2 linked regions of the Schizosaccharomyces pombe genome follow. The gene in region 1 interacts genetically with each later gene. Each region holds a gene or a part of one and is shown on either strand. Other genes may lie near its edges.

What was found.
Region 2: of cgs2 (region 1) and pac2, changing one suppresses a phenotype caused by changing the other (phenotypic suppression), as found in Schizosaccharomyces pombe (one study listed by BioGRID).

Annotation. Positions count from the first base shown.
Region 1 is NC_003421.2:1,809,744-1,814,704, forward strand, and holds cgs2 (dual-specifity cAMP/cGMP phosphodiesterase Cgs2), read right to left. Parts: upstream 2,901-4,961; 5' UTR 2,889-2,900; coding exon 2,799-2,888; exon of another isoform or gene 2,738-2,798; coding exon 2,729-2,737; exon of another isoform or gene 2,683-2,728; coding exon 2,270-2,682; exon of another isoform or gene 1,818-2,269; coding exon 1,289-1,817; 3' UTR 594-1,288; downstream 1-593. Other genes in the region: coatomer delta subunit Ret2, read left to right, coding at 1-170, 241-516; SPRY domain membrane protein, specificity factor required for ubiquitination Ear1, read right to left, coding at 4,592-4,961.
Region 2 is NC_003424.3:3,004,613-3,007,567, forward strand, and holds pac2 (cAMP-independent regulatory protein Pac2), read left to right. Parts: upstream 1-1,525; coding exon 1,526-2,233; downstream 2,234-2,955. UniProt on the Schizosaccharomyces pombe protein: Controls the onset of sexual development, by inhibiting the expression of ste11, in a pathway that is independent of the cAMP cascade.

The DNA.
Region 1 (4,961 bases):
TTTGTTCGTCGCTTGAAGAACGAGAGATTCTGGAATATGCATTTGAAATCTTTACTGCGTTTGACGAAGCTACCAGCCTTGGCTACAGAGACAATGTATCTTTGACACAGATCAAAACTTATTTGGAAATGGAGAGTCACGAAGAGAAAATTCAAGAAATTGTATCAAGAGTACGTGTTGAAGCATAGGGGTGGAGTCATCGAAATTTTTTTTGTATGGTTTTACTAATGCACTTTCTAGAACAAAGAAATTGAAGCAACTGAAGAAAGGAAGCGCCGCATCAAACAACTTGAATTACAAAAGAAAGAAGCTGCAAGACGGGCGGCTCAGAATCTTCCCAGTGCAGATGCGTATGAATCCATTGGGTATCAAACAGTTAATACAACCTTTGCTACGTCTAATGTTGAAGACGAATCTGCCATGGAGTCTTATCACGCTGCAGCAAAGGCTTCTTCTGCTCCCAAAGCGAAAGGAATGCAACTTGGAAAGAAGAAGAATACTAGCTTGTTATATTAATTTACTATTCCAGCGCCCTTTATGATCATTGCATCCGTTTTGGTTCGTTTCCCCTTTGTAATGTGCTTTTCCTACGATCATATGCGATAACTAGAAATAATAATCATTTTTCTATCCCAAATTAAACATCGTAATCAAGAGTCGACCATTACCAACTGTAATAGAACACTTTGTTCCTTTCATACCCTCCAGAATACTTCCTAGTCTATCCAATCGAAAAAAGCAGAGCAAACCTATATTGATTCATCACTCAACTAATATACCCGCTACCCTTTAGGAATGCTTCCTCTTGTTTCTAGGTAAACAATATTAGAACAGAGAAATCGTCATATAATATAACCCATTTATTCAAGTATATAATCTGGTTAAGACTTTTAACCCATCGTTCTATAAACCTCGTCAACAACAACAAAAAACCAAATTAGAAATCTATTTAAAAAGTAAAGCAGATTGGCAAACAAAGAAAAAGCATTCTATTTTTGAAAATAAAGTGTCCGATGAGAAAAGCGTGAAATTCTAATGAGAGTAAACCAGCAAAGCGAGGTACGATGAACTGGTAATGAAAAATAAAAAAAGGTAATAATTAATTGCTTTAGCATTCAATAATTAACAACAAAGTCAAAATTCCTCCAACAGAATTCTCAATAATAGAAAGACATGCGGCAACGGCGGAAGGATAAAAGGGCGTAACGAATAAATGGAGAAACCTAAAAGAAATTAAAAAAAAAAAATAAAAATATAATGAATATATGACCATGACCCTGGGATGCTATTAAAATTTATAAAATTGACCACGCTGAAGGATTTTAAATGTGACTGAAAGAGAACTTTTGGAAGACAACGACTCTAACTGCTCCAATATAACATCGGCAGGATTCGCCGACTGAAGAGGATGTGATTTCAAATGAGTGAGCAAACACGTAAGGGTAGGCATGATAACGCCATAACTCTGGACCAGAGATTGGAGTATACAAAGCTCGTTCACTAGATGTCTAGGGCAAAAATGACCAAACAAAAGAGTATCAGGGATGTCAGGAGTGGAGCATTCGATAAGAATATGAGAAAGCTTTCTTTGAGCAATTAAACTAGAGCAAGCTCTCCAAATATGAATGTTAAGCGGTTCTGAGGCTACCATATCGGGTTCGACGTCCCCGAAAGCCAAAAAGTATCTGTCGGATAGGTTATTCCTAAATAAAAATGCAGACGACTTTAGCTCTTGACCGAAAGAGGAGCCATGATTAACGGGAAAGGGCAATATAGACAAAGTAGTCGTTAAACTAGTATACATGGAAGGCTCAACCCTAAAAAGAGGTTAGTCTCATTGTCAAATGAGAAAGAGAAATGCCGATGGGGTTGATTTAGCAAATTCGCATAAGAGTTAAATTCATTAACTTGTTTGAACAAGAACAAAAGATATTAGAACAGTGAAAGAAAAAGAGATATAATTATTATTGCAATCTTTGCAATCTTTCAAATAATATCACTGTCTCACAAAAAAAATTGCACAAGTACCATGAAACCATGCAAATCAACCAAAGCGTCAGCAGATAGTTTACATATATGCAAAATATATAAATGTGTGTTCAGCAAATAGATTTGAAGGAAAAAAAGACGAGCATACATCTCTTCAACTAAGATGAAGAAAATAAAAAATTTTCAAAACTCAACATTGCCTTCCCAACCCTCAACCTATTCACTAAAACAATGAAAAAATTTTCATTTGACAGAAGCTATTGAGAAAGAATTTACTTACACCTGAAAATTAATAAATCCGGCTTTGTCGAGGGAAGGCCATAATAAGTTATTAAACACGTGCTTTTTTAGGGTATCGATCACATAGTTTAACCCAACTATGGTTCTAGGATTTTGAGGACCAAACATGGCGCTATTGATGACGGCTCCATAGATGTGGTCTAAATGACAGTGTGTGATGAGAAACGTTTTAATCCTTTGCTCTGAAAGGTGCCAGGCTTTTGCGTATGATTCATTTTCCACCGTATAATTGTCATACTTGGTGATGGAAGACCAAGAATCGACGGACAGGTGTTTTGACTGGATCAACTCAACCAACGCCGATAGGTGGCTTCCACCATCCAGCGATATAATTTCTTGAAATGCGCCATCAGAAATCAAATGACTGCTACAGCAAGACTCCAATGGACCCCCCTAATAAGTCAGCATGGCTCTCAATGCATAATGTTTGAATTCTTACATTTTGTCCCTGTTTTCGTTAACGTTAGTCGAAATTCTTCAAAAAAAAAAATATTTTTCGTTTTTCATACCAATGAATATAATGTAAAAGAATTTTCTACGAGTCCTACTACTTGATCGGTTTGAAATTCAGCTTCTTTGATTTCGAGTGCTGCATGCATGGCTAGGCTTATGGAGAGTTACAGATCTCCGGTGCATGCACTAGTCTACAAAAACATGTCGGTTGACGTCATATTTATTACAAGCATACATTTACTACCGTAGATTTAGGGTACGATAAACGATGCTCGAAATGTGGAGAAACTCGGGGTATAGTGTAGTGTGTTAATTATCCTTATTCATGTGCCCGCTTGGTGAAGAAGTATGCTATGAATAAATAAAAGGATGGAAGTCGTTAAGTGGAGAGGAACGAAGTTATGCTTTGCTGCTTTAAGTAAGATATTAAGAAAAAAAATGCGACTTTGATGAAACACGTTTGACATGTATCACTTCCTTATGAGAGCAATTTTTCCGAAGGTTCAATATACACCCTTAAAGAATGTCACGTAACGAGAAGAGAGAGAGCTATTTTTTATATAATTCCAGAGGTTTCCTTTTTTTATCGTTTAACATTTCTGAGGGGAAGTTTTGTTGCTTGTTTAACAATGTCGGCAGAAGTTTATGCCCTTCTCTTTAAGAGACCGACTAGCAAACAATTGTAAACTATCGGACACTAATATGTTTTTTAAAATAATAATTCATTATACATACAAAAAACTGAACCTCGTGTAATATAGATTTCCGTATGAACTTGGTTCTTTATCGGACTTTGAGGATTCGTAAGTCCCAGTCATTTTATCTGATTATGCTAAACTAACTCTTACTTTTTCATAGAGTACTTAGATAGTTCCAGTCAGTGCTGCTGAGAACCAGTTTGCATCAGTTAGGGAGGGTGGTAATCGTTGTAAGAGCTTTCAAAATATGATCTCCTTTTCCTTTATGCAAGATAATCAAAAGAAACATTCCTAAATTACCTATTTGAAGAATCTTTTGTATGTGCCGCTGAAATTGCTTTCCATTGAACTTTTTGTTGGTCTATGGAGAGAAATCATCATAGGTGCATAGCAGCCTTTAGGTAGATATTTTAATTAGCAATATATCCCAATTTTCCCTTTGATAATGATCGGTCTTTTTTCAATTAAGTCTATACCTAAAGGCATATTGGAAACTTGCTATAAAAGTTTGAAATAGAAACAATTCTCAGAATATTACTTGAATACGTTCTCTGTTTTACTCCCTTTTTTTTTTACTCACAAAGAATGTCACACTGCAGTATCGAATTGCTTTATTTGTTCCTTTGGAATAAAAAGGTAGATTTCCTTTTATTACAGCAAAAGATAACAAGACTAATAATTAAGCGGCTTTGTTTTTACCAGGAATTGCATTTTATGACACTACGCAAAATTAGAAATGTAAAAAAGCGCTTTCGAAAATTTCCTTTTACACTTTCATTATCAGGATTGACAACCCTATGAATTCCTCCGTTAAAACTTCTCACCAGCGGAATTCGATGAAGGTTGATGTTAACAGTATAGACTCAATAGCAACATTATACGAAAAATCATAATAAATTGTGAATAACCTTTTATTAATTGAGCGAATAAACATAGAGTAAATTTAATTAAGATTAATAATTATAACTAATTTTGAAGAAATTATTATAAAGAAAATAAATACATTGAACATCAACACATCCCCTTCAATTCATATACAAAGTGCATTTCTCGATTTTAGGACTAACTTGAAACACAACGCACAAACATTTCCACAACTTGATCTTTGGTTTTGGCGTGAAGGTTGTTAGTGCTAAGCTATACATTACTCCTTATACTTCATCGGTAGCAGGCATGGAGTGCATTTGATAAGCTTGATTGTTGGATGATGATGGACTGAAAACATTACCAGCCGCATCATACGAGGTACCATCAAAATTTATTGGAGGTGACCTATTTTTCGATTTGTCGGGTCTATTTGTATCGCCCTGCGTTGTTGTACCCGCTGAAGACTCACTAGCTGCATCCCAACTAATAGTTGGCTGCGATGTAGAATACGACGGAGGAGGAGCCAAGCTTCCAACCGCAGGAGCGAGTCTCCATTTCTTGATGTTTGCTTCAATAAATACATATCCTGCTTGTCCAAGATTGACATGTAAGGTACAAGGTCCAATTGCACCAACCGTAGGATACAAATTTCGA
Region 2 (2,955 bases), on another chromosome or scaffold:
TCTTTGAAATTTTTAAATCTGTTTAACTCATCCCAAAGTAATTGAGTGTCGGAAAAGAAATGGCCCGAACGGTTTTATGAACCGGTCCCTACTAAAGAATAACAAAATTCAAATATTGGAAAGGCAGGTTTTGGTTTTGAACGCAGTTGTTGGATTGAAAATATATTCCATTGTACTTTGTACTTGATAATCAAAGTAATCTTGTTGTTGATCATTAAAGGCGTATCAACAGTGTTGGGGAAAAAGTTTACCTTGAATCTTATCTAGCAGCGGAAACTAAATAATTATATTTATTAAATTGTTAGACCAGCCTAAAACTATCGGGATTAGCGTTGGGTAAGGGATTTACGGAATATTTACCGTATTAGGTTTTTTTTGAGTTTTAAAAATTTAACTCGCTAACATAACCGAAGCCTCGCACATATAAACTATCTTTCAACCTACTTGACTCAACTTTTCCTTCACCAACCGCAGTGTTGCATTAAGCAGCAAAACGTTGTCACCTTCGAATAGCGTCTTTTTGACGAATAAAAAGGTTGGACAACAAAATTAAATTAAGCAAATTTGTGTATAAACTAACAGCAAGTGAAGTTGTACCGGTTGTATGATTGAAGCATTGTAAACCAAAGAACAGCTACTTTGCCTTGTCGTACATTAGCTTTTTCCTTTGCAAAGAACTTTTAGGGACCTTTTTTTACCACAACTAGAGAACCGGTGTAGAAAGGTGTTCTATTTTAGTGAACGGATTCGTTTAATTTTTTCATTGAGAAAAAAATTTGATCTATCTTGATTTTTTCGACTGTTTCCATTTTTAACTATTTGTGACGTTTCTTATTGCCAAATTTCAACCTTGAGCATTGTTAAAAAAGCTGAATTTAAATTTCTTTGCTTTTAACATACAAGTGAGCTATTGGGTTTGTAAAGATTTAATACTTGATTGGAAGTTTTTTTGGTCAAGTCTGTTTTTTTTGGGTGTTTTTTTGACGATCAGTTGAAACCGCGAATAATAATATTTATTATAACTCCCTAAAAAAAGAAAGAAAATCATTTATTAAATAATTTTTACTTTCCTTCATTGTTTCTGAATTTTGCTTCTCCCTGCCGTTTAATTGTTTCATTTTCTTTTAGAAAGTACTAAAAGGTAATCAAATCGGCTAGTCTTGCAACTGAATTTTCTTTGAAGATAATATCTAGATTTAATTTTTCCCTGCTTGAATTTCCTAAGATCTTGCGTTCGTTCGGACTGAATTGCATAATTTATTGAAGGTCTCCATTCCTGTATACTTACTCGACTACCCATTTATCGGTCAAGCTGTATATATACACGCACAGTCAACTTATCTTCTACTTATATTTATAAAACTATTTATTTTATTTCTCTTTAATCCGAGCTTCGTTAGTTGATTCTTTTGATCTTTGCATTGGTAACTAATCCAGTGCGCTTTTTTTTTTGAATCTTCGTGACAGCTATTTTCTGATTTTACTTCATCTTCAAACTACGATCTGATCGGCTTTGCCTTTCGTCATGCAAACTTATACAGGTATCATTAAGACCCCGTTGGATGCGATTATCCTTTTCGAGGCCTGTCGAATTGGTCTTCTTCCACGCGTCCAGCGTCGATTGTCCGACCATGAAAGAAGCTTGATACGAGCAGGCAGTGTTTTTGTGTGGGATGAACGGGAAGCTGGAATGCGCCGTTGGACTGATGGTAAATCATGGAGTGCTTCTCGTGTCAGCGGTTCATTCTTAACCTACCGAGAAATGGAGGGTAAACGTAAACCTTACCATCACGGTCTTTCCACCGATGGTTCCCTTAAACGCTCTCCCTCTGCAGATACGACTGGTAATAGTTCCCTAAATGCTTACAGCAATGAGGACAGTGGAGCCGCGAGCTTGAGTGATGAAGAGTCGGTTGATGATGAGAACCTACGGGGGTTGCATTACAAACCGAACGGCTTAATTAAGCAGTCCTTTAGTATTACTACCTCCTTAAATCATAAACTTCACCTTATTTCCTATTCTTCGCCTATCCCTGATCCTTCATTAGTCACGCCAAGTAGTGATGTTAACCTTTCACGTATCACTATTCCATATGGACTGTATCCAGACGCGGGTCCACCGCTTGTTCAAGCACCAAAGTTTCTCGCTCCTTATGATATTCTTGTCGAGAAAGTTGCCTGTAGCGAAGACGCGCGCGTTTTGGATAAGTTGCGTCAAGCCCTATGGCTATAGGTTTGATCTTTTTCTTCACATTGGGTCCTACTTCTCGGTTAAAAAGTGTACTAAATTTACTATAGATTTCATTTGCATCATATATGGGGCTTTAACGACTCCCAATCAATCCTAGTTTCCTGTGACATTTTCTCGGCTGCGTTTTCGCTCTTACTAATCTGCGGCTTTGTCTATCAGCGTCTAATTTATGTGGTTGATCAATTTTAATTTCAAGTTACCACTTCATTCTTCAGCACTTACGGCAAGTGATAAAAACAGAAAGCTTGTTTTGATTTAATTCATTAACTAAGTAATCGCTCAACTGTCTTGCAAATACGTTTTCTGTTCGTCGGTTTAGATGTGTATCGTTATCATAACTCTTTAGACATTTCGCTTTACGCATTATTTTGTTTCGTCTGCGAATATCGGAAATGTCCTTTTTAAAGAATCTTTTGTGGTTATTTCATCAATGCTTCCTTTTTTCTCTTTATTATTTATTTCTTTTCATGATGGAAATGGTTAAGTAAACGTCTATCATGAAGCACGGTAGAACAAGTATTCAACATTTGAATTATGCACTCAACATTTCTATTTTTTACTACTCAACTTAGAGCTCATGTTCGGGTAAAATGATAGGAAAGCATCAATTCTTAGGGTAATTTGAATTCCTTAAATACAACTACTATGAAATTAATTCTTTATCTTTTAAGTAAATGCATAGCTTTTATTTGTTGTAAATGAAG